Linked DNA regions of Arabidopsis thaliana. The protein of the gene in region 1 interacts with the protein of each later gene in a pairwise test. Each region holds a gene or a part of one and is shown on either strand. Other genes may lie near its edges.

Region 1 (5,586 bases):
GCAGACTCCATTCTAAAATCCAAGTAAAGAACAATAGCAAATTAAACACATCTCAATCTCTTAATTTATGCAAGATCAAAAGCTAAGCTCAAAGAAGAGATTACAAGATCAAAATCTAACAAGAAACCATACATATCTGTAGATTTTTGAACCTCTTCAGCTGCAGAGAAGAAAACATCTTTTTGCCATAGATCAAAGCTGTTCACTACCATCATCTTCTTCTTCTTCAGGAGCTATCCACAAAACAGAGTCAAAGAGAATCAAAAGAAGCTTTTACGAGCAAGAGAATCGAAATTTTTCTCGAACTCTTTGTTTCAGCTTTTTTTTTGTGTTCTGTTCCCACTTTCTATAAATCTTATTTATTTTCTTGTCAGTGTCACACCAACTTGTGTCTATTATAGAAACGTGGCTGATTATTACTCGGAGACATAGGATATTAGTATGCTCTTTGGTGCATGAGATTATAGCTCTGTGTTAAGAAGCTGGAAAACGACAAGAATGTAACCTGGAAGATGGGGTCCGCCAATTTGCTGCCACCAGCAGCCACATCAACTTTTTCATTCTTTTTTATTATTTGTTATGTTTCCCATTTGAGATTACTTTTATAATATGCTCAAAATACTGATAATTCTCTATGCCCACAAAAAATATGAGAAAATATAGTATTAGTCAAATGTTAATGAATCTGATTACTCATTTTGCATTCAGAAAGTAATGACAAATGATGGAGACACCACTATTAGGGTACCATGCGTGATGCATTTGCAAAAAAAAGAGTATTCGGTTAATTTGTCTAGGGTTAGTCGCACACGTACGTACGTACGTAAGTACATAAATTTATAAATTCTAATGAGATTATATAAAGAGGTGTCTAATGAGATTACGTGGATATGAAGCAATTATATAAGCAAGAAAAAAAGAGGTGTCTAATGAGATTAAACAGAGGAAGTATGTAACTAAAATGTAACTAAAATGTAACTAAAATTGAACTAAAGTCTTTTAACTCACACAATTTAACTTTGTCAAGAAGATACATTTCATAATACAGTATAAGCTGAATCCAAGATCAGGTTCTCATCTCATTCTACCTTAGCTAAACCGGTGGGTTAGTTATGGATTCTTGAACTAGTTTGATACCTGCAGAACATGAATCAAGAATGGATGAGACAATCTTTCTCTGCCGCTCTTTGAACTCCATCGCTAGTTTAACATCCCAATCCGCGTTTTCTCTGTAAAAGTGTAAAACCAGACGGATTACTAAGTAATTGGTCACTCTGTTTCAGCTTTTGTATATCATGACAAGACAACTACTGATACCTGTCGATAGAATCTGCATCGCCAAGATTTTGCATCATGTCGTCGAATGTGGATTGGAGATTCTCAAGTACTCCTATCTCAACTTCCAAGTTCTTCCATAACTTAAAAGAATCAAGAAATGAGAAAAATATCTTAAGTGTTAGATTCATAGAGATATAGATGTAGTTATACGAAGGTGATGAAGAATATATACATCTGTTTCAGAATGATGAACAAGACCATGAGCTTTGCGCAAGTAGTTCAACAATGGAGTAGGCAAGCCGTAGTGGAAGATGTTGTGATTACTCGATAGCCAAGTCCCGCGTAACATGTGAGTTGTCCAAGAAAACTCGGTCTCGATGTCTTCATCATCAATGACATCAAAATCTGCAAGGAAGAGATACAACTTAAAGCAAAAAAAGCATGTAAGCCTGAGTGATCTCAGAATGAGGTAAGGTTAAACTACCTAAGGGAATGACATCATACGGGTTATCCCCTTTTGGTAGAAATCCGTAAAATGTTAACAGATGCGAACTAGAGTAGTTTCCGTAGCTAAGAAAACATTGTTCCCCTTTGTTGCAAGGCCTTGAGACTGGGAACTTCAAGGAACTCGTCTCAATGTCTACTTTTCCATATTTCACTATGTGTGGGTATATCTGCAAAACCCGCCAAATTATCATATTCCGGATAGTGATAGGAATTACTTAGTATACCAGAGGCAGAACGAGAGAAGACACATACAGAATGGTTGAGAAAACCGGCGACAGGAATCAAGCAAGTCTTCAGCTTTCCATCTGGGAATTTGATTTGCATGCTATTTGAGTAATACAACTCACAAGCCCATAAGTAATGTTCCCATGTATAGAGCTCCGGTGGAAATACTTCCCGGTGGTTCGATAAAAGAGGAATCAATTCATCATACCTCTCACGCAAAAGCTGCAGATATACAAACAATTGCCAATGGAATCAAGAACATAATACAAATCACAGAACCAAAAGATAAGAGATGGGATCAAGTCACACCTCTTTAGCTTGCATTATTTCATCTAAAAGCAATGTACCATCAAGCTCCATGATTGCATCAACCCCAAAACTCAAACCTGCAATGAGAGAATCAATGTTTGTTGTCTCTTTGAAACAAACACTGCTACAAGAATTGAATATTTAGTTCTCCAAACAATTTTACCGGTACAAAAATTCTCTTGCAGAGAGTCAAAGTATGGTTTGAATTTCGAGTCCAGGTTATGCTTTTCCCTCATGGTCCATAAGAGCAGCATTGTCTCAGATGTAATGCCATCAAACGTCTCCAATATTGGGTACTGAAGACAAGAGAACACTCATCATATAGCATTGCTATGATGAAACTGACGCAATCTTTAAATCAGGATGAACTCAAATGATATACCATGTCGGAGTTGTACACATACTCCTCCGAAATGATACTTGAGACTGGAATCTCTAAAGCAACATCGCCAAATTTCAAGTCTTCGCTAGCTATAGCTCCTCGTCCATAGCCATCAATTTCTATCCAAATTTATAAAACACATTGTCATAAACTTAAATCTCTGTTGATAACTTCATAACAGAAAAAAACCGTTAAGCTTACGAGCTATCTGCAATTTGGTTTTGACTCCATTGTCCTGACCCCATTCTACTAATTTGCTTTCCTTTTCGCATCTATAGCTATCAACAACTCTAGCTTTCTCCTTTTCAGCTCCAACAACCTCATTGATTCTACCTTTTAAAGCAGCTCGTAGAGCTTCAAAGGTATCAACTTGTGTTTGCATCTTACAAGAAACCGGTATAAGCGAAAGGATCCAGCTGAGAGCTGAGATTTCGTTTCTAACACTGTAAATTCCTGCAGGAGTGCAAGCATCCTCACCAAAGTAAACTTCCACCTGCATTTCACTCAATCCATCATCTAAGCAACTTCACATGCATTACAATGGCCTACGATGTTTGCTTACCTTATCGAGATTAACTATTCGTCCAAAATGAAGCAACTTTTCCAATGCAGCATTCAACAGTTGTTGAGATAATGATCCACTGAGGTTCAATGTTTCCTTTACGCATAAACCTTTGCAACTCAAGAACTTCTACAGACACAAAATCATAAGAAAATTCATTTTCATAAAAACTCAAACAAAACATGAGAAAAACTAAACAGTGTAATATTTTAAGACTTTGGCACATGAAAAATCTGATCTTTAGACTATAAGGCAAAAAAAAAGCTAATGGCTTTGAGTATTGAGATAACAGAAGAGCAGAGAAATTAGGAAATTGAACCTTTTTGTGGTGATAAAAGGGATCATCTTTGGGAAGTTCTACACATAAATCACCAGTCTCTGACATGATATTCAAAGCACCAACCTTACAATAACCAGCAACAAGATTAAACTCGCTACGACAAAAAACACACTAAACCAAGTCTATTACAAAAGCAATAAGATTAATAAGGGTCTAAAGGAAAGGAATTTGAAGATTACCATCGAAGGAAGAGCTGAGAAAGCGAAAAACTTGGCAGTATCAAACCAGCAAGCAAGTGAGGCAGCCTCTCACTAGCTGAAGAAGAAGAGGGCTCGTCAATACAGGTTTTCCCGGTTTGATTTCGGTTTAAAATATACATCCGGTTTGGTTCAAAATAAATTCGTTTTTGTTTGTTGACGAATCATCTCTGCTTCTTCCCCCCCCCCCCCCCCAACCGGTAAAAAACTGGAAGTGATGATATACGATACGAAGCATATGCAAATGGAAGCTAACAACAAAATAAAAATTAAAAAGTTGAATAAATAAATAAAAATGAATAAATAAGTTGAATAACAAAAAAAAATTGAAAAATGAATGATGTTCATTAATGTATTCGAATAATTTTGAAATGAATAAAATAAGTAGAATAATTTTGAAAATAACGAATGATGGATTGTGTAAACAATTTTTTTATTGCGATTCCAAAATATAAATATAAATTTAAAGCAAATATTGAATTTGGTATTATTATATATCAAAAATATGTTCATAATCTATTCGATTATGCTAATGATTACTAAATAAAATTTAACCCTTGTTTTAGCATGGTTGTGATCTGGTTTCCACATTTCCATGTTAATACTATAACACGTGTTTAGGGTTGGGTGGACGACCAACAAAATTGCATGTCGATACTATCTCGAGAAACCATATGAAGTAATGTTTGGTAAAAAAATTGTATTTATGGCCAAAAAGATAAATGTAAGCTTAATGCAGATAGAGCGGGGCACATACAAATGATGATCTTCTTTTTAACCAAACCCACAAAAAAGGGTAACAAAACATGTTTATACATGATCATCAGAACTCAGGATGGTTTGTGTATGTATGAAAAATTTCTATCCAAGCTGATTCCTGAGAATACCTGTGATGATTCCCTTTTTCTTCTCAAAATTGGGGATTCAATTGATGGCTATGATGAGAAAACCGACTGACACATACATGAGGAAGACGGGGTATAGAGCGAGTGCTTTTCTTCTTGGGTTAACCGCTGAGCTCATAAAAGGGTAAGCAGCCCATGAGCTCCAGGCAAGGGTTACAGACACAACCACCATCTTCAGTATCACATTGTCTTTCAACATGCAGATCACGGCTCCAACGTCTAGCGGAAATAAACAGTAACCTAGAAGGCTCAAGCTTTGGAAGAAGATTATATGTCCACCCTGTTCATGACACAACATAATGGTTGTAAGTATGTGATCAAACGAAAAACATCTGCACGAGATACAAGGAGAGAGCAGTGGTGGTTTACCAGGAGAAGCACGTTTAGTGTAAGGATCACCGCCCCGGCTGCTAATAGTGCAAATGCCACTGCAAATACCTCGGACTGGAATCAAAGGGAAAAGGTATGAGACAAAGACGAATTCTGATAGATAATAGATAGCATTCTATGAAAAGCCACTCAATATCGGCAAGATAAGCTGTAATTACATCAGATTCAAATTCAATCCTTTAATCAGACCTACATGCTAATAACTCAGAATAGTGCATCCAAAGTGCTACTTTGTGAGTCAAAATCCTACATGATCCACTGTACAAGAAAGAAGCTTTATATAACCTATAGCCTAAGAATCAAGTGAGAAGCAATGCCACAAGAACAGTCCTCATTTTTCTTCATCATGTTCCTTCTATAATCTAAAAAATCACAATTGGAGAACAATCTTAATGCAAAGAAGTGGAAATGCTATCTTCACTCCCATTTAAAAACTCCTAATTTTCTGTAACTCAATCCTTGTTTCCCGTCATCGTGTTCCATCTATAATC
Region 2 (4,920 bases), 1.1 Mb from region 1:
GGCACAACTCCTTGAAATATGGAGTACCAAACATTGATGCCCATCGCTTTGACACGCAACAAAACCTCACGACCGACTCTGCTGGCAATCTCGACAATATCTCCATGATGAGATCATTCGTTAAGGAATATGAATTCATGATTTCAGATCGAACGAAGAAGGAGATTTGTTAAAATTTACATATTAATGTAAGACCTAGAGAAACCTAGCTTATATACTACTAAAGAGACCTAGCTTTCGTGAATTTATTTATCCGATTTTAGTCGGTTAAGAAACACAAAAATGGGCTGATTTAACGTCTAAGTGGGCCTCCAAGCTTGTCTTCTTCAGGATATTCATACCAAGGAGATAAAAATGGACGTGGTAGACTAATTAAGATGATGTTCAAACAGGTCACGCACATTGCAACAGAACGAACAGAACATCAATTGTTGTTGTTGGCTTATCGGTTTAGGTCATCCTTCTCAGACGTGGATTGTGTCTTCGTTTCTTCAGAATCCATACTTAATTTTAGAGGCCAAGAAATAAAGATTCAAACTGAAGTTTTCCAGATATGCATGACCAGCCAAATTGACAATAAAAGGTTACCATTGAGTTGATAATTTGATTCTAGGGTCATTCAATTCATACATATAACGATTTTGATAAATTGGTCTCAAAATATTAAGCTACAGAGCTACATCCGATAAACAAGAAGCAAAGTTCATATGCAAAAACCAAACTAAAGTCATTACATAAAACTTAAGACAATAAAGTTCTTTTACGTAGTAACTTCTTCTCCAAGACACCCTCACATCCATCCTCATTAGGGTTTGGAGACAACTAGAAGTAGCTCCTTTGGTTTGATGAATGTGAATTTGCAGGTATCACCAACAGCAAGGGGATACTCTTTAACCACACGACGCCATCCACCAGAGAAAGCTCCAAACCTCTCCAGATAAACCACATTCCATGATTTCTTCCCATTTGGGTGATGGATCTTGAATACTGTTTTCTCATCCGGCACTTGATCCTTCGATACAGAATTCGGGATCCTCTAAACACTCAAACAAAAGATTCATTCACATACCAATTTTTAGCTCAATACAGAGATTTTGTTTAGAGTGTCTTGGTTTGTGTTATCTTACCAGGAATACGAGATATCCTTGCTTGAACAAGATGGTGAATGCTGCAGCAGTAGATGAAGAGGCACCAGCGTAATCACTTCGGGCTCTAACCACTTTCTCGGTCCTTTTAGAACTTTGGGATTCCTTAGCTGCCCTCTTCCCAAGGTTGAGCTTTCTTCCTTTAGATTCAGCTGCAGTTGTCTGGCCACGGTTAGAAGATACCACTACCTCTTCCTTAATGTCATTTTCCTCTTGTTCTGTTTTGATACGACCTGTTGCATCAACAAAAACTAAAGACTCAATGACTTTATCCAGTTTCACTGTTTCATAATCAGAAAAACAAATCTTACTTACTTGAAGAAGCAAAGAAGGATCTGGATTGTGGAGGTTGCATCATCTCTTTCCCGTCTAGCTTAAAGATGTTCACGGTAAAGTGCATTTTCCCTTTGTGAGTGAAGGTAAGTAACTCACTGTTTCCCAAAGCATTGTCCCTCACAAACTTCTCCCAGCCAGACTTCTCCATGAAGTAAAATCTAGGGTTTTTAGAGATTCCTACTTCCCAAGAGTTTCCCCATTGCGCTCTTATCTTCATCTTACGTGAGAGCTCTTTGTCGGTGAAGCTTCTCGAAAAGTCATGTGGAAGTGCTCTCTTTCATTATGCAAATAAAATGAAGAGACGATATAAGAAGACTAAAATTTCAATAAAGCAAGAATGGTTGATCTAAAGAACGTTTCTTCAACTACAGGGAATCAACAAGTATTTGGTCCACAGTTTCAAATTAACAGAGGACAAATCTCATTCAGAAGAAACAGAGGTGAAAAATAATTCATGACGACTCCTCACATCTAAACTGAGTAATGAGAGAAGCAGCAAAACAATGTTCTTGATATCAGATAAAGAGAATTGACGAAAAGAGTCAACCTTTAAACAAACAGCTAACAAGATTCAACGTTACAAAGGACCAAAAGTTTCAACATTTCCAAACTAAACTAACGAAGTGAACGTTCTTACACATCCCATCAAGTCTTAAGTACAAAGTTTCAAATCTCACCATGTAACAAATATAGTGTGACAAACACAACAAAATGTTTTGGCATAACATTCTTTTCCATTCTTCCATATGTGAGCCCAAAGTTTAATTAGTCCCATCACACGCAAATGACAAACCAAACAAGACAATGAAAAATAACAGAGGGCAGATCTCATCTAAAGGAAACAAAGATGCAAAATAATGCATGAATGCTCACATTCAGACAGAGAACTAAGTGAAGCAACTAAAACAGGAGAAAGACAATGAAAAATAACAGAGGACAGATCTCATCTAGAAGAAACAAAGATGCAAAATAAAGCATGAATCCTCACATTCAGACAGAAAAATACGAGTGTAGAATGAAGAAAGTTCGTTACATAGAGAAGATCTGTGAGTTTTTTTTCCTGATACCCATAAAGACAATTTACGAAAAGTTTCAACCTTTCCAAACTAAAATAACAAGTGTCAAAGTTTAAGACAAACCCCTGTTACAAAGAACCGAAAGTTTCAATCTTTCCAAACTAAGCCAACAAATTTAACAAGGAGAAGAGTTTAGAAGGTTGTTACCTTGTTTTCTGAAGAAACATTTATACTCTGAACAACCTTGAAGAAGCTTTCATTCTTGCGCTCTTCTTTGCACCGAAGATAACCAGCGTTCGTAGCCATCTCTCTAATTCAAGCTCACCCACAAAGCTTTTGCTCTCGTCTCTCTTTCACACTCTCTTCCTATATCTCTCTCCCTCTCTCTTTTGTAAGGACCAAACCTGTTGAAATCTCTACCAAATTTCAAAGGAAAAGATTCAGTCAAAGTGGTTAAAGTTAGAACTGAGAAATAAGTACAATGTGAGGTCATGTACTTTTTGTCACACATAACTCTTATATGTGTTTCTTTAATGTATAAATACAATGTTGGTATTGTCCAATTAAGACGAGGGAGGAGTTGTTATTAACTTATTATCCAATTAAAAATAAAATGTTCAGAAGATGTATTCTATTTATCTAATATATAATTTTAAAATCTTAAATAGATTATAATACTAGTCAATAATTAGCTCAGAAACAAAATCAGGTGGGACAATATTTGTGGACCAAAGTATAAAATTTGCATGATTCAACTGAGAGATGAGCATTTTTCTAGTCAGAGCAAAACTTTGGTTCTCAGTCTTAGTACTAGTCTCGTTGCATAAGTTGTTGAGAGAGTCCAAAACATTAATTGGCGCAGAAAATCAAAACAACAGAGTACTGAACAACGTCCAAGGAGGATGGAGGATGGACTGGCTTGAGTTGTTTTAAACCGTTAAACATTAAGATCCTCTACAAGGTTTCTTAAACGCTTTACAACCTTTGACGAGAATGTTCCATCTTTCAAAGACAGCTTACAAGACCCATTGTTACAGAGAACCAAAAGTTTCAAACTTTAAAAACAAAGCTAACAAGAAGTTGTATAGTTTAAGAACATGAAGACGACTTAGACTAAATAAAAGAACATTAAGGAACTTTTTCTTCAATTATAGTGAAAAAAACAGTGAATATTGTTACATATCCCATTAAGTATTTGACTCCAAAACGTCATCATGAAATCATTTCCATCACACACAAACGACAAACACTGAAAGATATTGAAAAAGAACAGAGGACAGATCTCATACAGAAGAACAATATTGATAATTTAAGCAAATATACTCAGATTAAGACAGAACTAAGAGAAACTGCAAAACCTTGTTCTTAAGTATAAATTTCGTTAAAGAGAGATAGATAAGGTTGATTTAAAAGTAAAATAAAAAAAGCCTAGTTAAGAGAACAAAATGAAATGCTCATTGCTTTCACCTAAATGATAATCTCTCTATCTTCTTCTGATTCTGAATCTGATTCATCATATTCTGGCTGCACCGATGGAGGATGGACTGACTTGAAATGTTTTAAATTGTAAACATTAAGATCCTCTACGTGATCTACAAAGGTGTAAACTGTACCAAATTTAGTAAACGCTTCAAAACCTTGGATTTCAACACGTCGGAGATTGTTCCTTTCGGGATTGAAGTAGTAAACATAAAACGGTTGTTCAGATGTATACTTGCGCATCGAAAACACTATTTCACCCGAAGCAGTCATTCCAACCACGGAAACCTGAGAACGGTATAATTTATCCTCGGTCCAAGTGTAGGCATATTTCGACCATTCCTTTTTCTCGACATCCTCTAGAACCCACACATGCATCTCATCAATGGCATCATCTTTCACATCATCATCATCCACATCATCCCAAAAAATTACAGCTAATTTGCCCTTATAGTTTATCAATTGACCACATTCTAAGCCAATAAAGGTGAAACTTTCGGATCTTAAATCAAAGCAAACTAACACATTACCAGACGTTACATCATGATCATTATCCCAATCTGACGTGTCACCTAAGTAATACAAAACACCATTGATGCATATCCCTTGACTGTAAATATCATGTAGTACACGATATTTTATCTTTTTCCAATTCATATCCCCATCTCCAAAAGTAAGAATTTTACTGTGACCAGGACCAGATGGATAGATCATGGACAATGCCTTGTACTGCTTGTCAATTGGGTCAAACCCGAAAAAGCTAAACGCCTTTCTATAAGTATAGCACTTAGGTAAGATCGTATACCTTCCTGTGTTGGGGTTACATATCAGAGGTGTAGCCTCGTATCGATCACCATATAAATAGATCAAGCCAGAGGCGTAACCAATTGAAAAATATCTTGGGGTATTATCATGATAGATTCGTAGATTGTTTGGAGATAACT

What was found.
Region 2: the proteins of AT2G18850 (region 1) and AT2G16210 interact in a two-hybrid assay, tested with the Arabidopsis thaliana proteins (one large-scale study listed by BioGRID).

Annotation. Positions count from the first base shown.
Region 1 is NC_003071.7:8,158,987-8,164,572, reverse strand, and holds AT2G18850 (SET domain-containing protein), read right to left. Parts: upstream 3,974-5,586; 5' UTR 3,786-3,973; coding exon 3,783-3,785; intron 3,667-3,782; coding exon 3,583-3,666; intron 3,393-3,582; coding exon 3,264-3,392; intron 3,195-3,263; coding exon 2,903-3,194; intron 2,821-2,902; coding exon 2,702-2,820; intron 2,616-2,701; coding exon 2,483-2,615; intron 2,397-2,482; coding exon 2,320-2,396; intron 2,233-2,319; coding exon 2,038-2,232; intron 1,953-2,037; coding exon 1,763-1,952; intron 1,684-1,762; coding exon 1,511-1,683; intron 1,419-1,510; coding exon 1,318-1,418; intron 1,230-1,317; coding exon 1,094-1,229; 3' UTR 811-1,093; downstream 1-810. Other genes in the region: AT2G18860 (Syntaxin/t-SNARE family protein), read right to left, coding at 1-12, 133-215; AT2G18840 (Integral membrane Yip1 family protein), read right to left, coding at 4,725-4,985, 5,075-5,149.
Region 2 is NC_003071.7:7,026,191-7,031,110, forward strand, and holds AT2G16210 (Transcriptional factor B3 family protein), read right to left. Parts: upstream 2,986-4,920; 5' UTR 2,804-2,985; coding exon 2,705-2,803; intron 1,756-2,704; coding exon 1,461-1,755; intron 1,379-1,460; coding exon 1,128-1,378; coding exon of another isoform or gene 1,119-1,127; exon of another isoform or gene 1,037-1,118; coding exon 806-1,036; 3' UTR 571-805; downstream 1-570. Other genes in the region: AT2G16220 (F-box and associated interaction domains-containing protein), read right to left, coding at 3,965-4,920.